2 linked regions of the Anolis sagrei genome follow. The protein of the gene in region 2 purifies or fractionates together with the protein of the main gene of each other region. This does not show direct contact. Links are inferred from orthologs where the notes say so. Each region holds a gene or a part of one and is shown on either strand. Other genes may lie near its edges.

Region 1 (10,517 bases), on a different chromosome or scaffold from region 2:
TTCATTCATTTTTTTTCCCAAATTATAATCCGGCCCTCCCAACAGTTTGAGGGACTGTGACCTGGCCCTCTGTTTAAAAAGTTTGAGAACCCCTGGTTTAGAGGCTCATATACACTGTTTTATGAGCCTCTGAACCAACACAATTGGTGCTTACTCTATAATTCTCAAAGCGAAATGGTCAGAATAGTAAGAATCGGGAAACCAATATGCCTTTATGGTGTTGGGTCTGAGTTCATCTGCAAAGCCAACCAACCCAAAGGCCTATGAAATCATAGGGGGATTTGTGAACCTTAGTTGAGAGATTCAAAATCTCCATGCCATCCTTGTTGCACAAATACATTCCTTTTCTTACATTCATCAAACAAATGCTATTTTAAATATTAAAAATATCATGTGTTTTATCTAGCAGGATGTTGTGTCAAATAAACTATCATTTCCCAGTTAAAGTACTGAGAAGTAACCTCTCTTAAGTGCTGCTCTTTAGAGGCATTGGACCTCTTCAGATTACGTACAGCCAGAGAAACTAGTAACTATATAGATCTTTATTGATGAATTGTAAAGGTTTTCCCTGACATTAAGTCTAGTTGTGTCCAACTCGGGGGGGGGGGGGGGGTGCTCATCTCCATTTCTAAGCCGAAGAGCCGGCATTGTCTGTAGACACTTCCAAGGTCATGTAGCCAGCATGGCTGCATGGAGCGCCGTTACCTTCCCGCAGAAGCCATAACTATTAATCGACTGACATTTGCATGTTTTCGAACTGCTAGGTTGGCAGAAGCTGGGCCTAACAGTGGGAGCTTACTCCACTCCCTGGATTCGGACTGCTAACCTTTCAGTCAGCAAGTTCAGCAGCTCAGTGGTTTAACCCACGGCACCACTAGGGGGCTTGTTGTATTTTGTGGCAACAAATTCCTTCATTTTAACTACTGCACAAGAGTGTCATACAGGGGAAATCCAGACAAGAATCGATCAGGGCCAGCTAACACTTCCCAACAAAGGATCCCGAGGCAGCAACCAGCTAGACTTTGAAACTGCAAGGCCATTAAATACTAATCAAGTTAGCAAATGGCAACATTCACACTTGCCTCAAACAGACAAAAGCGTTCTTTCTCCCACCCTGGACATTATTCCACAGATATATAAATTTCACTTGCCTAATATCCAACAGACCTCACAACCTCTGAGGATGCCTCCCATAGACGTCATCAAAAATACTTCTAGAAAATGCACTTACAGCCTGGAAAACTCAAAGCAAACCAGTGATTCTGACCATGAAAGCTTTCGACAACACACACATACAACATCTAACGCTTTAAAAGAGAAGGACAAGATAAAAGGATGATTATTCAGAAGAAAAAGCAGGCAGAAACACACAAAGAACAGAAAAAAGAAATAGAGATTTTGAACTTTGAACAATGCCTAAGATTGAGATGGGCTATACAAATGGACTGGTTATATAAAATTATCTTTGGTGTAATATAGAGAAAAAGCATGATAATTATAAAATTTAAGAATAGATTTCTTGTGAAACGATCTTATGAAAAATTATGCTCATTTTCTATTGAAGAACTGGAAAAGAATATATGAAGATCACAAAACAATGTGAGAAGACACATTGAAGAGACAACCAATGGACTTAAAGTTGTTAGAATCTTCACTATTATAACAAATATGTGTTAAAGAAATAGAGATGAAGATTTAGTTGTAACGATGACAATTTTGTAAAAGGAACCCCCCATACCCCAACAACCCCCACCCTCTTTATTTTCTCCTTGCGGCATAATAGAGACTGTAAATATGCAACTAACCAATAACAAATCTATTTTCCCATTTTTTTCTTCCCCTTTCCCCCCACCCTCATGTAAATGTTTAATAAACATTATGGGGGGGGGGGGGGAGAGGTACAGTCAGTCTTCCACATTTTCAGAGGTTTGAAGCACAGGACCCTGGTGAAAGTGAAGAATACAAATAAATGTTTTGGTTTTTTTACTAGACAGAATATCTCTAGGAATGGATACAGGGGTTCTCCAGATGTTTTGCACTTCAATTCTCAGAAACCTCAGCTCCCTTGATCAATAATCAAGGATTCTGGGCACCAAATTTCATCATCATCATCACTTTATTTCTTAATTAGTCGCTCTCCACCAAATTGCTCCGAGCGACTTACAATTTAAAATAGCTTATACACAATATAAAACATTCAACATAAAAACATTCAGCAGTGACTATGGCAAAATTTGATCCAATTACTTAAATGCACAACCAAACAGCCAAGTCTTGAGCGCCTTTACAAAAGGTTGCAACTCTGACATTGCTCTAATATATGGAGGCAATGAGTTCCACAGAATTGGAGCATAGATCAAAAAAGCTCTACGCCTTGTAGCTTCCAAATGTGCCTCCCTAGGACCTGGTATGTATAGGAGATTTTCCTGGGTGGATCGAGGTGACCACTGATGGGGAAAAGGAATGAGGCAGTCCCTAAGATATAAAGGTCCTTGGCCATTTTGAGCTCTAAATGTCAGGATCAGTATCATGTAAGAGATCCGATGTTCTATTGGTAGCCAATGCAGTTGTTACAGAATCGGTGTAATATGGGGTCTTATAGATGATCCCGCTAGCAACCTGGCTGCCGCATTTTGGACCATCTGAATCTTCTGGGTCATTGACTTCGGAAGGCCAGCATATAAGGCATTGCAATAGTCCAACCTAGTGGTGACTGTTGCGTGGATTACCGTTGCCAATGCTTCTACCGAAAGGTAGGATGCTAATTTCCTTGCCTGGCGAAGATGAAAAAAGGCCTGCTTACTTATGGCAGTGATCTGGCCCTCCATCGTCAGTGATGAATCCAACACAACCCCAAAGCTTTTAACAGTGGCAGACGGAACCAGAGCTTCCCCGTCGAAATCAGGCAGAGACTGGGTTAATTCTGGCGGCTGGCCGGGCCAGAGTATCTCAGTTTTTGCAGGATTGACTTTTATTCGTCTTGCTCGTAACCAACTCATCACTGCTTCCAAACACAGCTTAAAGTTCTCAGGAATCACGGTTGTCCCAGGTTCGAGACGCAAGAGTAGCTGGGTATCATCTGCAAACTGGTAGCACTCTATGCCAAAGCTCCGCACCAGTCCAGCAAGTGGTCGGACGTTGATGTTAAATAACAGGGGCGAGAGGATAGCACCCTGGGGAACTCCACAGCAAAGGCAGGAGCTCTCAGAGCTTTGGCCTGACCACTCCACCCTCTGTCTCCGGTCGCGGAGGAATGAATTGAACCATTTGAGGGCTAAACCTCGTACACCAGACGGAGCCAATCGATGAATCAGCAAGTCATGGTCCATGGTGTCAAATGCAGCTGTGAGGTCCAAGAGTACCAATAGCGCTGATCCGCCTCGGTCTAACTGATGACGAATTTCATCAGTAATAGCTACCAAGACAGTCTCTGTTTGAAAACACATGGAAGACTACAGTCTGGGAAACAGTCTATAGTCAACTTACAATTGAAGCTGAACATAGATGCACACTGGAGGAACTAGTGAACTGTCCTCTAGAAATCCCTGGATCCTCCAGGATGAAGATTGAGTCACACTGGAGAACCTGGGATTCCTAGAGAGAACATATTTACATTAAATCCATGAATAAACAAACAGGAAAGATTAAGTCCCTGATTGTCCTCCATCCAAGAAAGCTTCAGGGCAATGCGTTGTTGAAGGCTTTCATGGCTGGAATCTCTGGGTTGCTGTGAGTTTTCCAGGCTGTCTGGCTATGGTCCACAAGCATTCTTTCCTGACATTTCTCCCAAATCTATGACAGGCATCCTCAGAAGTTGTGAGGTTTGTTGGATACTAGGCAATTGGGGTTTATATATCTGGAATGCTCACAATGAGGAAATAACCTGTCTGTTGGAGGCAGGTGTGAATGTTGTAATTAGCCACCTTCATTAGCCTTGAATATCCTTGCAGCTTCAAGGTCTGACTGCTTACTGCCAGGGGGAATCCTTTATTGGGAGATGTAGTTGGCCCTGATCTGAATTTATTATTTATTATATTTGCGGTATTTGTATGCCACACTTCTCAACCCTGAAGGGGACTCAGGGAGGTTCACAGTGTTGGCAACAATTCAATGCCATTGATAAAAAACAGTATAAAACATCAAAATTGTCCCTCCCTTGATAAAACATTAAACATTATTACAGTGTTCCCTCACTTATTGCGGGTGTTATGTTCCAGAACCACCTGTGAAAAGTGAAAATCCGCAAAATAATTATTTTAATATTTATATATCATTTCAGTAGGTAAAGGTAAAGGTTTTCCCCTGACATGAAGTCCAGTCGTGTCCGACTCTGGGTATGGTGCTCATCTTCATTTCTAAGTTGAAGAGCTGGCGTTGTCCATAGACACCTCCAAGGTCATGTGGCCAGCATGACTGCATGGAGCACCGTTACCTTCCCACCAGAGCAGTACCTATAGATCTACTCACATTTGCATGTTTTCAAACTGCTAGGTTGGCAGAAGCTGGGGCTGACAGCGGAAACTCACACTGCTCCCTGGATTCAAATCTGCAACCTTTCGGACAAGCTCAGCAGCTCAGCGCATTAACCCAATGCACCATCGGGGGTTCCTTATTTCAGTAGTTATACACTATTTTAAGTCTTTATAAACCCTCCCCAGACACTTATACACTACATAACCCTCCTTGAATGTGTTGTTCACATAATCCTCAGCTCCGGCTTTATCTGCAGAGGCAGCCTCTCCATACAGACAAACGCTCTTAAGGCCAGAGCGCTTCTAAAATTAATCAAACCTGCCATGTGATCGTAAAGTTGCTTGGCCTTAGTCCGACCACGCACACGTGAGTCCGATGCTAATGTGAAATGGAAAAGCAGAGAATAGCTGCGCACAAGATTGTTGTTTTACCAGGTAAAGGTAAAGGTTTCCCCTGACATTAAGTCCAGTCGTGTCCGACTCTGGGATGTGGTGCTCATCTCCATTTCTAAGCCGAAGAGCCAGCGTTGTCCATAGACACCTCCAAGGTCATGTGGCTGGCATGACTGCATGGAGCGCCATTACCTTCCCGCCGGAGAGAATGCCTCTAGAACATGGCCATATAGCCCGAAAAAACCTACAACAACCCAGTGATTCCAGCCATGAAAGCCTTCGACAATACAGACCTCACAACCTCTGAGGATGCCTGCCATAGATGTGTGCGAAACGTCAGGAGAGAATGCTTCTGGAACATGGCCACACAGCCTGAAAAAAATCACAGCAACCCAGTGATTCCGGCCATGAAAGCCTTCGACAACACATAACCAAAAAGTGGGAGGAGAGAAACCAAACCTAAAAATGTATTGTTGAAGGCTTTCATGGCCGGAATCACTGGGTTGTTGTAGGTTTTTCTGGGCTATATGGCCATGTTCTAGAGGCATTTTCTCCTGACGTTTCGCCTGCATCTACAGCAAGCATACTCAGAGGTAGTGAGGTCTGTCGGAAGTAGGAAAATGGGTTTATATATCTGTGGAATGACCAGGGTGGGACAAAGGTCTGCTGGAGCTAGGTGTGAATCTTTCAACTGACCACCTTAATTAGCATTTGGTGCCTGGGGTAATCTTTGTTGAGAGGTGATTAGATGTGCCTGATTGTTTCCTCTCTGTTGTTTTGCTGTTGTAATTTTAGAGTTTTTTTTTAATACTGGTAGCCAGATTTTGTTCATTTTCATGGTTTCCTCTTTTCTGTTGAAATTGTCCACATGCTTGTGGATTTCAGTGGCTTCTCAGGAGAAAATGCCTCTAGAACATGGCCATAGAGCCCGGAAAAACCTACAACAACCCAAACCTTCAAAGGCAGGACGCTCTGCTTTGACGCAGAAAGCAGTGCGCGCGCTCCTCCTTTTCCTCCTTCCGGCCGCTTTTGGAATCCGTTTCCGGTCGGAGGGGGATTGTGGGAAGGCAAATGGCGTCCACCAAGAGGGTGCTGTATGTGGGTAAGGAGAAAAGACTGGGAAGAGAAGGGGGCGGCTTTCAAAGCTGGGGAGACCTTGGAGGCGGCGGCAGAAAGGCGCCTCGTCGAGCCAAGCGGGCAGGAGTTCTTGGGCCTGGGTTAGGGTTAGACTTGTAGGCCTGCCCTCCTTGCCTTCCCAATGGCGACGTAAGGGGCCTCTCTCTTCTTGTCCCCGTCTCCCTAGGCGGCCTGGCGGAGGAGGTGGACGAGAGGGTGCTGCACGCGGCTTTCATCCCCTTCGGAGACATCACCGACATCCAGATCCCTTTGGATTATGAGACAGGTGAGGAGGAAGGTGGGAAGGAGAGGAAAGAGAAGGGAAAGGAGAAGGAGAGTAAATAAAGGGAGGAGAAGAAAAGGGAGAAGAAAAAGGGGGAGAGGAAAGAGGAGGATAAAGGGAGGGGGAAAGAAGAAGGCAAAGAGGAGGGAGAGAGGAAAGAGGAGGAGAATAAAACAGGAAGAAGAAGAGAAAGGAGAAGAAAAGGATGAGGAAGGAAGATGAGAACAAGACGGAAAGTGGAGGAGAAGGAGAATAAAAGTGGGGAGGAAGAAGAAGAGGGAGCGAAAAGAGGAGAAGAAAAAGAGGGGGAAAGAGGAAGAGGAGGAAGAGAATACAAGGAAGGCGAAAGAAGGAAGAAGAGAAAGGAGAGGGAGAGAAAATAGGGGGAGGAGAAGAAAGGGAGGGGGAAAGAAGAAGGGAAAGAGGAGGAGAATAAAAGAAGGAAGAAGAGGGAGAGGAAAGAGGTGGAGGAGACTAAAAGGGGCAGAAGAATAGAAAGGAGAATAGAAGGATAAAGGAGGGAAGATGAGATCGAGACGGAAAGTGGAGGAGAAGGAGAATAAAAGTGAGGAGGAAGAAGAAGAGGGAGCGAAAAGAGGAGAAGGCAGAAAATAAAAAGGGGAAAGAGAAAGAGGAGGAAGAGAATAAAAGGAGGGGGAAAGAAGGAGAATAAAAGGAAGGAAGAAGAAAACGAGATGGAAAGTGGAGAAGGAGATTAAAAGGGGGGAAGAGGAGAAGGAGGAGAGTAAAAACGGGGAAAGAAAAGAAAAAGAGGAGGAAGAGAATAAAAGAAGGAAGGAAGAAGAGGAAGAAAAGAGGTGGAGGGGAATAAAAGGGGGAAGAAGAATAGAAAGGAGAAGAAAAGGATGAGGAAGGAAGATGAGAACGAGACAGAAAGTGGAGGAGAAGGAGAATAAAAGGGGTGAGGAAGAAGAAGAGGGAGCGAAAATGAGAAGGAGGAGAATAAAAAGAGGGGGAACAGGAAGAGGAGGAAGAGAATAAAAGGAGGGGAAAGAAGGAGAACAAAAGGAGGAAGGAAGAAGAGAACGAGGTGGAAAGTGGAGAAGGAGAATAAAAGGGGGAAGAAGAGGAGAAGGAGGAGAGTAAAAACATGGATGTGGGACCAGGTCTTTGGGTAATCTGTCAAACTGACAAGGACAATGGCGACTAGAGCTTTGGAAAGCATTATGATAATGCTGAATGGACTTGTGGATTACAGAACTCGGCGAACGTTGGCCACCAGATTGGCTTTTTTTTATTAGTTGTTATTGTATTAGTTGAATGTTTTAACTATTTATAATTGTTGCTGTTATATATTTTACTATGTTGAATTGTTGGCATCGAATTGTGCCGGTTGTAAGCCGCCCTGAGTCCCCCCTACTTTCTAATGTTTTAAATGGAGTCTCTGTTCTTGCAATTTGTATCCATTGCTCCATTTGTCCTGGTCTCCAGAGCAGCAGGAAACACACCTTTCCCGCTCCTCAGCGAGACATTTTTTAAATGTTTCAAAGAAAAACAGTAGTTATTTTTCTGACCTGCCTTTTTTCAGTATGAAATTAGGCTTCTCATAATAGTTTTACATGGAGGTCTGGTTGTCTATTGGTTGCCCATAAGGTTTGCTAAACTGATTATCCTTTTCTCATATCTCTGCAGAAAAGCATCGGGGTTTTGCTTTCATTGAATTCGAACTGGCTGAGGTAAGGAAATGCTGACATGTTGGCACCCCAAAAACCAAACATTTTTTGCAGAGGGATCCTATAGCACTTTAGAGCCCCAGAGAACAAGGTGAGTGGGCTAAGCTTTGGTAAACTCAGTTCTGCCTTCATCTCACTTCTTGTTGTTCAAGAAGGACTCTCCTTAACTTTAAATGGCACAAGGAAACCTAAAACACAGTGACCCCCAAGCATGGTATTTGGGGGCAACTTGAAATAAGGGATGATGAGTTATCAGTAAAAATATATCTTCTTTTCTTCTGTAGGATGCTGCAGCCGCCATCGACAACATGGTACGTCTCTCTTTAGATTTTCTGAATTTCATTTTGTGGAAAGATGAAATCCCCGCTCATTCCTAACAATATTTTCTGGTAGAAGTGAAGTAATCTGTTTTATAGACTCCGCTTTGATGGTAGGTTTGTGCACAGAGTCCTTCATTTTGGTTTTGCAAAAAGCACATAGAAAATCTCCCTTGTTCCAATACAGAGTTCTAGCTGAATGGTTCCAGTAAGATTTATTTTTAAATTAAGCAGTCTGACTTTTATGTGCTAAAAAAAAGAGAATACAGAATGAGGATGTCAGTTGTATGAGGGTTCTCCGGAAAGTAAGGTTACAAGGGACGTAGCTCTCGCGGGGAAATTTCTCGTAGGAAGTTGGTATCACTTCCATGTAGCGGGAAGCCAGCGGAAGCGAACAAGTAGTGCCAGTCATCAGTAGCTCATCGACTGGCGTGGTGAAGGTTAGAGATGAGCGTCCTCATTCCATTTCCCTCCGAGTGCAAAGTTTGTGCTGTAATACGCTACTGAAATGCTAAGGGCATGAACGCTGCTGCTATTCATGGCAAAACCGTTTCAGTTTATGGAGAAGATAGCATGTGACAAAATGGGTACGGAATATATTGTGAGACCATGAAGAAACTTCGCAAAGCCATCCAGAACAAATGTGATGGGATACTGACGGCGGGAGCCTATCTCCTTCATGACAATGTGCATCTGCACACCACTCATGCAACTCAAGAGTGGTTGACTTCATTTGGTTGAGATGTTTTAAGCCACTCCACTCACAACCCCGATCTCACACCCAGTGACTACCATCTGTTTACTAAATTGAAGGAACACCTGGGTGGAAGACACTTTTCCAACCACGACAAGGTGAAAATCGGAGTGATGAACTGACTGAAAAAGGTAGAAGGAGACTTCTATGACACAGGCATCAAAAACTCATCCCACTGATGACAAAATGTATTGAACTAAATGGTGATTGTGTGGGAAAATAACGTAATACCTATGCTGCAATCCATGTAAGTTTTATTAAAATATATTCATTCTTTGTCTTTTAAAAAATAGATATAACCTTAATGTATTATTGAAGGTTTTCATGGCTGGAATCACTGAGTTGTAGGTTTTTCTGGCTATAGGGCCATGTTCTAGACCTCACAACCTCTGAGGATGCTTGCCATAGATGCAGGCGAAACGTCAGGAGAGAATGCTTCTAGAACATGGCCATATAGCCCAAAAAACCTACAACAACTCAATTATAACCTTACTTTCTGGATAACCCTCGTAGAATCCAGTGGCAACAAAGAGGGCCAGGGGCAGGGAAATTAGTAGTGTAGTCCACTGAGAAATATGTGGGCATGAAAATGACTAAAGTGAAAGTATGGACAAACATGTTTTGCCTGCTTTAAGAGCCAACATAGTAAAATGGCTGCATTTATCCGGGACAGTGAAGTCCGTTTTCCTACATGATACTCATGTTAAGATGCTAAATCTAACCTACCTTATGTTGGGCTTGTATGAGAATTACATGATGATTTCAAAGTAATCCTCTCCCCTCCTTAGAATGAGTCTGAGTTGTTTGGGAGGACAATCCGCGTCAACTTGGCCAAACCGATGAGGATCAAGGAAGGCTCCTCTCGCCCAGGTAAGCCATGCAATTGGGACAGGAAGAATCATAGAGTTGGAAGAGACCTCGTGGGTCATCCAGTCCAACCCCCTGCCAAGAAGCAGGAAAGAATGGTTCTTCACCTTTGTGTTTCTGTTTGTGTGTACTTTTGGACCAGGGGAGATTCTGTCTGTGAATCCTGAGTTAAATATACCTGAATAGGAAGGTTCCAAAGATTTTTTTCATCTTGTGTATAAACATCCCAGAAATACTTATGTAACAAAATTTGGAAAAAAATGCTCTTCCTAGTTTGAAAATACGTTTTAATTGTGTGGTACTTACTTTGAAAGCAGTTGTTCTACTCCAGAAACTTCGTTTTTGTGGCTGCCACAATCTGTAGAATTGGTTGAGACTGGGATATTCATTGCTGCAGAATATCCTGCAGGATGTGCCGCAGAAGTAAAGTTTTTGCAGTTTAATAAACCTTTTCCATATTTTTATGATAGGGCCCCCTGGTGGTGCCGTGGGTTAAACCACTGAGCTATTGAACTTGCTGACCGAAAGGTTAGCGGTTTGAATCTGGGGAGCAAGGTGAGCTCCCACTGTTAGCCAAGCTCTTCCAACCTAGCAGTTCAAAAACATGCAAATGTGAGTAGA
Region 2 (9,747 bases):
AGTAGGAAAATTAGGTACCACCTTAAAGTGTGGGGAGGCTAAATTAACTAATTTATGAGGCCATTAAAAAAAGACTCCAGCAAAGCACTCCAGCAAAAAAGCATGCGGGGAATGCGGAAGTACTTCGTCAGTGTCACAGATGGACGATGAAAGCGACAGCTCCCCTGGCGGCCAGAAAAAGTTAAATAGCCTCTGTGTATGTCTGTATATTTTGTATGTCAAAATTGGCATTGAATGTTTGCCATATATGTGTACACTGTAATCCGCCCTGAGTCCCCTATGGGGTGAGAAGGGTAGAATATAAATGCTACAAATAAATAAATAAATAAATAAATACTATTTTCAAAATGGGCTGTAAATCCATCTAATTTTTCCATTGCACACATTTGCAATGGGTTTATTAGCACAACTGACACATGCAAGATTTTGCTGCAACACATGTCAAATTCTGTGCCATGACATTTCCACTGAAATTCTGCATTTAGCACTAATATTGGAAATACTACATGTTATTAAATGCCTATTTCTGCATGTATTAAGCAAAGTCCTATGATGTTCAAAATATGCAGATAGTTTCCATGCAATTTTATTTTTTTTAATCTTGTAGAATAAATAATGGGCAAAAGGTAGGATATTAGGTAGGATATAAGGGACAAAATTAACATAATTTTAAAAAGACATTCTCAAAGATGGGGAAGAGGATTCATCATTGACACAGGATTTACACTCTGAACATTGAAGCAATTTGTTATTGGTATATGCTTGCTTCATAGTTCCTCATTAAGAGGAAGAAATGTCAATATCAAAAATTATATAAAAAGGTATATGCAGCAACATACTTCCAGTCTCTACATTAAAAGAAAATCTGTTAAAACCAAGAATTACTGTGATTTTTAAGAGGAATCTGGCTCGGAAGAGACCACAGATTTAAAAAAACTTCAAGAACAGCTACTTCACCTGAGACAATTCTATTCCACTTTCTTCTTTGCAGTTTGATTTAAATGCACAGGAATTCCATAACATGCTTCTTTTGCTCCTCATTTTGTCCCCTTTGTCTAAAGGCTTTAAGTGTGATGCTCGAACAATATCCCTACAGGAAACAAAAAAGTGTGCATTATTAAAAGTTCAACAGTAGTCTGATTAAATACAAAGTTGTGGAGTTAAGAAAGCGTCTACTTTTTGAAATTTTTTCTTTAATAAAATTATTAAAGGCACAACAATTTTACCTAGTATTGTATTCATTCAAGTGCCAAGTACCTGTTCAGCTTGTCCAAAGGACAAAGAAACTTCAGATGCCTACAAACAACTAAAACAACTAAGTCATATGGTAAAGTGAATACCTTCAATGTGCCACAATTTAATGTGGTAGCCTGCATATGGCAAAATTTACATACTCTAACTACCTGCATTTGTAGCTGCCCGTAAAAAATGCTGCTCCATTTAATCCTTTTATAGGATGCCTCCTTTCTCTCAGATATCCAAACAATAAAACTTGGAAGTGGAAGAAGCAGCACTTTATTACCACTTTGCAAAACAGTAATGGGTGTGCACGAACATTTCATGTTCTATTTACTGTATAATTACTATTAACAACATACCTATTAATGTCTATAGAACAGATTTCACTGTGGGGGAAAGTCATGCCAGTTGTTCTTGGTGCAAGTCTGTTTTAATTTGGGAACTGCTGGTTAGTATGCCATATACATCAGATGCTAAACTGTATTAACTTAACAGCTGTATATGGATTGAGATAAAATCACAAGCAGCTGCTCTAAAGATAAGTATTTTGTTTTATCTACCCCCTCTTTCTCATCAAGAAAGGAATTAATAAGACTCAAGAAACCTGAATTCTTCATAGGATGCTACTTTCTGGCGCACTGCTCGAAATTTGGCATCGTTTTCTCTCTTGTACTTCTCATCACTGGCAATCGCTTGTTCCAACTCTTTTTCCAAAGTACGGAAATCTATCATGCCTTCCATTCTTAAGACCTAGGAGCAGCACAGGTAAACTAGTATAATATTTAATTAAAACAACAACTCTTATGCCAAAAATTGGGGCTGAACAACTTTAACTGGAGGATACAAAGATATTAAACAAGAGGAAGAAAGATCAGTCCAAATAAATCATAAGCGAATATATGCACAAACACACATACAGAAACCAGATGATATTAGTTACCATCTGAGCATACTGTTATGCATTTTCCACTTCCCAAAGTAACCACAGTCAATGGGCTGAAGGAGCCCTACAGAAGCCAGCTTTTTAAGGGAGAAAGAACAGATTTACAGCATCTTTTGAATAACTAGTCAATTTTACAGCTATATTAGCAGGCCCCCCTTAGGGCCAAATTGATTCAGCATATTGGCAAATCCAGATCTTGGCAGGAGTTGCTTGCACCCTGACGCGTGGTGCTTCACATTAAGCCAGCTCACAACTCCTAACTCTTTTTTTCTTCTCAATTCAAGCAGCAAAACCTGGCTGCATACCAATTATTTTAACTGTAAGAGAGCATCTCCTCGCCAAATTCAGATGGGTACAAATGGAATCTATTACAAATGTGCAAGGAACACTTTTGTTCGGCATTTAAAGTCAATCAGGTATGACCTTCTTCACAACATCATCTTCCTTGGGTACAGTTTTTGATTCTAGCCCAAGAATAAGACTGCATTTGAAACATACCAATCACTCCCAGCCCCTGTTGATTTATAGATCATGATTTGTGTGTGTGTGTGGACACACACACCTTTATAAATCTCAGAGTTCATTGAGGCTGCTGATAACACTGTCCAACACACATTCTGGTGCTTTAAATGTTACATTTGTTTTTGGGTATACTGGACTTGTTGATTCCCAAAATGTCACCAGTTTTCCCCTATCAGCTCTACCTTTGTCATGTAGCAGTCTTCATCTGCTCTCCCATAAAAAATCATAACTACATCTAAGAAACTAGAGCTGATGCTAGACAGTGCAATTTTCTGAGTAATCACCCCAAAGAACAACAGAAACAAGCCTAAAAAACAAGACACTAAGGGTCCTTCCACACAATCATATAACCCAGAATATCAAGGCAGATAATCCACACTATCTGCTTTGAAGTGGATTATCAGTGTTCACACTGCCATATAACCCAATTCAAAGCAGATTATGTGGGATCTTATATAGCTGTGCGGAAGGAGCCCAATAATTATTTTGTTTGGGCTATGCAATTCTCTCTTCTGCACCAGTTGTACAATTTTAGCTACAAAAGCATCAGCACTGTGAGCATTAAATGGAGTCCCCAGTGGTACAATGGGTTAAACACTTGTGCCAGCAGGACTGCTGACCAACAGGTCAGCAGTTAGAAACTGGGGAGAGTGGGTTGAACTCCCTCTGTCAGCTCCAGCTCCCCATGCGGGGAGAGGAGAGAAGCCTCCCACAAGGATGGTAAAACATCAAACATCTGGGCGTCCCCTGGGCAATGTCCTTGCTGACGGCCAATTGTCTCATACAAGAAATGACTTGCAGTTTCTCAAGTTGCTCCTGATAGTAAAAACAACAACTGAGAGCATTAAAAAATAGAGAGAACACATTCCATAAGATGGAGATACATTTCCAGTATCAAGAGACATTAATATAGTAGGCTCTCAGGGCCTTCCTCACAGCCATATAACCCAGAATATCAAGGCAGATAATACATAATATCTGCTTTGAACTTGGTCACCTGAGTCCACATTGCTGTATAATCCAGTTCAATATGGATTTTATACAGCTGTGTGGAAGGGGCCTAAATAAGGCACTTCAGGCCTCCACTATTGGGAGACTGCAACTCCCAGCAACAAAGCAGTCTCCCAATAATGGAAGCCCGAATGGTTCCCACTCCTGTTTTAAATCATAAACTTCTGTGGGTCTCTTTTAAGGATCACTACATATTTTTTAAGGATCACATATCTATGAGCCCCCGGTGGCACAGTGGGTTAAAGTGCTGAGCTGATGAGCTTGTTGACCAAAAGGTCACAGGTTCGATTCCGGAAGCGGCGTGAGCTTCCTCTGTCAGCTCTAGCTTCTGCCAACCTAGCAGTTCGAAAACATGCAAATGTTAGTAGATCAACAGGTACCGCTCCGGTGGGAAGGTAACGACACTCCATGCAGTCATGCCAGCCACATGACCTTGGAGGTGTCTATGGACAACGCTGGCTCTTCGGCTTAGACATGGAGATGAGCACCACACCCCAGAGTCAGACATGACTGGACTTAATGTCAGGGGACAACCTTTACCTTTTACATATCTATATAAATAAAAATGTAATGTTCGTTTGTGGGATTAACAGAACTCAAAAACCACTGGACGAACTGACACCAAATTTGGACACAATACACATATCAGGCCAATGAGTGACTATCACTCATAAAAACACTGACAAACAAAGCAGAAGAGACTTAAAAAGCCAAAAAAGCAAAAGATGCTACAGCGCATGCACAAAAATGTCTCTCCCAGCAAACAAAACACACAATAGCATAGCCACACTCTCTTCCGGACTACAGCTCCCAGCATCCCCTAGACCAGGCTCTTTAGGGGAGGAGGATGATCCAAATGCACTGCTTTCAAAATGCAATTTCCTTGGATTTCTTTGAGAGCATCCTATTCCCTGAATATTTTCAATTTCCTATTCCTGGACTGCAACTTCCAGCAATCCTCCAGATAGATAGATTAGAGATAGATAGATAGATCAGGACTGCTGGGAGTTGCAGTCCAAGAATAGGTAGAGAAGGAAGAAAGGGGAGAAAGAGGAAGGGAAGAAAGGAAGAAGAGAAGGAAAGGGGGAAAAGGGAAGGAAGGAAAGAATTAGGGAAGGAGAGCAAGAAAGAAGAGAAAAAGGGATGGAGGGTTGGCCACACAACGCTTAGCGAGTACAACTAATACTTCAGGAAAATTTGCACTGGAAAATCCACACCAAAAGCACGAAACCGAGAGAAGGCAGCTTTTCAGTCTACACAGGGCGCTGGAGTTCGTTCTCCAGGGTAGGCCTCGCGTTCCCATGCCAACGAGGTTTCCATAGCAACCAGGACACTCTCCGAGGTGGGTAGGGCCTTCCAGCCGTGGAGCTAATAGCTCAACTCCGTATTTCCTATAGACGAGGGAATGAAAGGCCCCCTGTTGCCTACGGATGAGGCTGTCTACTCAGTTGCCGGAATGATTTCCTCTATTTTCCTCCATATATATCGGTCTTGGTAGATAGCCATAAATACAACAATACAATAATATAACACGTTATTGTTGTATTATGCCTTTCCACCAAGACCGATATATATCGGGACTGCACCTTTAAAGAAAGAAATGGAGGAAATCATTCCGGCAACTGAGTAGACAGCCTCACCCGGAGGCAAGAAGGGGGCCTTTCATTCTGTCGTCGCAGCTCGCGCGACGGGGAAAGAGAACGTAGCAACGAACGTGCGCCGCAGCCTGTGCTGAGGAAGGCGGTAAAGCAAAGGGAAAAGCAGGAAGGTAGGGCTGCATGCCTGTCTTAACTGAATATGAGGGTTTAAACTGTCTAAACTGAATATGAGGGTTTTCCCCCCTCTAACTGTACAACTAGTACATTGTTAAAATACGACCCAACAGCATAGTGTGTAAGGACAACCTCGAAAAGACTTGCTAGAATTGCTTTTAGCTGGAAGACCTACAGTTGAGCAGGACTCAATGGCCCCTGAGCCTCCTTCCAGCCCTATCATTTCTCTGGCTAATGTATTGTTGAAGGCTTTCATGGCTGGAATCACTGGGTTGTTGTAGGTTTTTCGGGCTGCATGGCCATATTCAAGCTGGGTTTAGAAAAGGCAGAGGAACGAGAGACCAGGTTGCCAATATCCGCTGGATAATGGAGAAAGGCAGGGAGTTTCAGAAAAACATCTATTACGGCTTCATTTACTCTAAAGCCTTTGACTGTGTGGATCATAATAAATTGTGGCAAGTTCTTGGTGGTATGGGCATCCCAAGCCACCTTGTCTCTCTCCTGAGAGATCTGTACAAGGACCAAGTAGCAACAGTCAGAACTGACCACGGAACAACAGACTGGTTCAAGATTGGGAAAGGCGTACGGCAAGGCTGCATACTCTCACCCAACCTTTTAAACTTGTATGCAGAACACATCATGCGATGTGCGGGGCTTGATGAATGCAAAGCTGGTGTGAAAATTGCTGGAAGAAACATTAACAACCTCAGATATGCAGATGACACCACTCTGATGGCCGAAAGCGAGGAGGAACTGAGGAGCCTTCTAATCAAGGTGAAAGAAGAAAGCGCAAAAGCTGGGTTGCAGCTCAACATAAAAAAAAAAACCCAAGATTATGGCAACAAGAATGATTGACAACTGGAAAATAGAGGGAGAAAATGTGGAGGCCGTGACAGACTTTGTATTTCTAGGTGCAAAGATGACTGCAGATGCAGACTGTGGCCAGGAAATCAGAAGACGCTTACTTCTTGGGAGGAGAGCAATGTCCAGTCTCGATAAAATAGTAAAGAGTAGAGACATCAGACTGGCAACAAAGATCCGCCTAGTCAAAGCCATGGTATTCCCTTTAGTAACCTACGGATGTGAGAGCTGGACCTTAGGGAAGGCTGAGCGAAGGAAGATCGATGCTTTTGAGCTGTGGTGTTGGAGGAAAGTTCTGAGAGTGCTTTGGACAGCGAGAAGATCCAACCAGTCCATCCTCTAGGAAATAAAGCCTGACTTCTCATTGGAGGGAAGGATACTAGAGACAAAGTTGAAGTACTTTGGCCACATCATGAGGAGACAGCAAAGCCTAGAGAAGACAATTATGCTGGGGAAAGTGGAAGGTAAAAGGAAGAGGGGCTGACCAAGGGCAAGATGGATGGATGGCATCCTTGAAGTGACTGGACTGACCTTGAAGGAGCTGGGGGTGGTGACAGCCAACAGGGAGCTCTGGCGTGGGCTGGTCCATGAGGTCACGAAGAGTCAGAGATGACTGAACGAATGAACAACAACAACATGGCCATATTCTAGAAGCATTCTTTCCTGACGTTTCGCCTGCATCCTCAGAGGTTGAGAGGTCTGTTGGAACTAGAAAAATTGGGTTTATATATCTGTGGAATGTCCAGGGTGGGAGGAAGAACTGTTGTCTGTTGGAGCTAGGTGTGAATGTTTCAATTGGCCACCTTGATTAGCATTTGAAGGCCTGACAGTTTTTTGGTGTGGCTTGTTAGTGCCTGGGGAAATCCTTTGTTGAGAGGTGATTAGCTGTCCCTGATTGTTTCCTCTCTGGAGTTTCCCTGTGTTTGAGTGTTTTACTGTTATGATTTTAGAGGGTTTTTTAAATAGTGGTAGCCAGATTTTGTTCATTTTCACGGTTTCCTCCTTTCTGTTGAAATTGTCCAGTAGCACTTTATTAGACTTTAAGATTGCTTGCACACTGCACTTACTCTAAAATCTGACATACCACCTGTCACATCAGCACTTTTAATCTGTACCCATTATTATTATTATTATTATTATTAGCTTTATTTGTACCCCGCTAGCATCTCCTGAAGGACTCGATGCGGCTTACAAAGGCCAAGGCCTCAAAACACAACATAACAATACACAACCTAAAGCAAATAAAAAAATTAAAAACAGTTAAAGCAAAATTAAACAATAAGCAATAAACAATACACCAAGACACAATAAAACTGGGCCGGGCCAGAGTAATGGGTACAGATTAAAAGTGCTGAAGTGACAGGTGATATGTAAGGATTATAGGATAAGTGCAGTGTGCCAGCAATCTTAATTCTAATAAAGTGCTTCTGGGACTTGTTATTGGAGTTTTCACTACATTTGGCCCGGCCCCAGTTTTATTGTATTTTGGTGTATTGTTTTATTGTTCTGTTGTTTTTGATATTGCTTTAATTGTTTTGATTTGCTTTGAGTTGTGTATTGTTATGCCATGTTTTGAGGCCTTGGCCTTTGTAAGCCGCATCGAGTTCTTCGGGAGATGCTAGCGGGGTACAAATAAAGTTAATAATAATAATAATAATAATAATAATGGATTTCAATGGCTTCTCTGTGTAGTCTGACATGGTGGTTGTTACAGTGGTCCAGCATTTCTGTATTCTCAAATAATATGCTGTGTCCAGGTTGGTTCATCAGGTGATCTGCTATGGCTCACTTCTCTGGCTGAAGTAGTCTGCAGTGCCGTTCATGTTCCTTGATTTGTGTTTGGGCAATGCTGCATTTGGAGGTCCCTATATAGACTTGTTCACAGCTGCATGGTATATGGTAGACTCCGGCAGAAGTAAGTGGATCCCTCTTGTTCTTTGCTGAATGTAGCATTTGTTAGATTTTCTTGGTGGGTCTGTATATAATTTGTATGTTGTGTTTCCTCATCAGCTTCCCTATGCAATGAGTGGTTCCCTTGATGTTTGGCAAGAACTCTTTTCCTCTGGCTGGATCTTGCCAAAAGTGTTCTTGCCATACGTCAAGGGAACTACTGACCACATGGGGAAGCTGATAGATGCCATAGATGCAGGTGAAACGTCAGGGGAGAATGCTTCTAGAACATGGCCATATAGCCCAAAAAACCTATAACAACCCATTTCTGTGGCTATTCTATCACGGAATGAAATAGTCAAAGGGCCCTTCCAGAAAAGCTCTATATCCCAGGATCTGATCCCAGGTTATCTGTTTATCCCAGATTATCTGGCCGTGTGGACTAATATAATCTAGTTTAAAGCTGAAAACCTGGGATCAGATCCTGGGATATAGGGCCTGTCTGGAAGAGCCCAAAGCTCTACTGTTTGGAGCGGAAATAAAATTTCAACTCGATGGAACTGAACTATTTTGAATTGTAGGAAAGAGCAGCCGGTAAAAGCTAAAAGATGATAGGAGATAGAGGGATACAGATGGCCTTTTCTGTGGTGGCCCCTCAGCTGTGGAACTCCCTCGCAAGTGAAATTCGATCTGCTACATCCCTCTGGACCTGTCGGAAACAAGCGAAATCCTAGCTATGGGATCAGACCTTTGTAGATTAGGTTGACCTGCTGACATGATGGCTTTAATGGAACTGACTATCCGCTCCTTGGATGATGACGTAAACTGGCAACTGTTGACTGTTGATTGTCTTTTATACTGTTTTATTGCTATATTGTTATTTAAATTGTATATTTATGTTTTGGTTGTAGGCACCATGGGGTGCCGGTCTGTTAGCCACCCTGAGTCGCTCTGCGGAGGTCGAGATAGGATGGGATACAAATGACCTAAATAAATAAATAATAAATACAGGAAAGGACTGCAAAGCTTTATAGGTACAGGCGAGATACAGATCTCAGCTGATTACAATGGGCAGTTTAGGGAGCTGGTATGTATCACTTGGAGAAAAGAAGGCTGAGAAGAGCATGATAGCTATGTGTTGTTGAAGGCTTTCATGGCTGGAGGCCTTTTCAGGCAGGCTCGATATCCCAGGATCCGATCCCAGGTTTTCAGCTTTAAACTGGATTATATGAGTCTGCACCATCAGATAATCTGAGATAAACAGAAAACCTGGGACCAGGTCCTGGGATATCGGGCCTGTCTGGAAGGACCCTGGGTTGCTGTGAGTTTTTTGGGCTGTATGACCATGTTCCAGTAGCATTCTTTCCTGACATTTCACCTGCATCTGTGGCAAGCATCCTCGGTGGTTTGTTCAGAGGTCAGTTGGAAATGAGGCAAGTGGAGTGTATATATATCTGTGAACTGTCCAGGGTGGTGGTTGGTGGGGGCTTGTCTTGGACTCTTTCACAC

Evidence for each region. Proteins that work in one complex are often made in the same cells at the same time.
Region 1: the proteins of EFTUD2 (region 2) and PPIE purify together in Homo sapiens (affinity purification with mass spectrometry; 3 studies listed by BioGRID and IntAct, with this or other methods). This does not show direct contact. The link is inferred for Anolis sagrei from reciprocal best matches to the Homo sapiens genes EFTUD2 and PPIE.

What each region holds. Positions count from the first base shown.
Region 1 is NC_090034.1:84,716,858-84,727,374, reverse strand, and holds the start of PPIE (peptidyl-prolyl cis-trans isomerase E), read left to right. Parts: upstream 1-5,868; 5' UTR 5,869-5,936; coding exon 5,937-5,967; intron 5,968-6,168; coding exon 6,169-6,267; intron 6,268-7,917; coding exon 7,918-7,961; intron 7,962-8,242; coding exon 8,243-8,269; intron 8,270-9,817; coding exon 9,818-9,899; intron 9,900-10,517. UniProt on the Homo sapiens protein: Involved in pre-mRNA splicing as component of the spliceosome. Combines RNA-binding and PPIase activities.
Region 2 is NC_090026.1:47,531,760-47,541,506, forward strand, and holds the start of EFTUD2 (116 kDa U5 small nuclear ribonucleoprotein component), read left to right. Parts: upstream 1-5,374; 5' UTR 5,375-5,483; intron 5,484-9,747. Other genes in the region: CCDC103 (coiled-coil domain-containing protein 103), read right to left, coding at 958-1,090, 1,844-1,989, 4,902-5,018. UniProt on the Homo sapiens protein: Required for pre-mRNA splicing as component of the spliceosome, including pre-catalytic, catalytic and post-catalytic spliceosomal complexes. Component of the U5 snRNP and the U4/U6-U5 tri-snRNP complex, a building block of the spliceosome.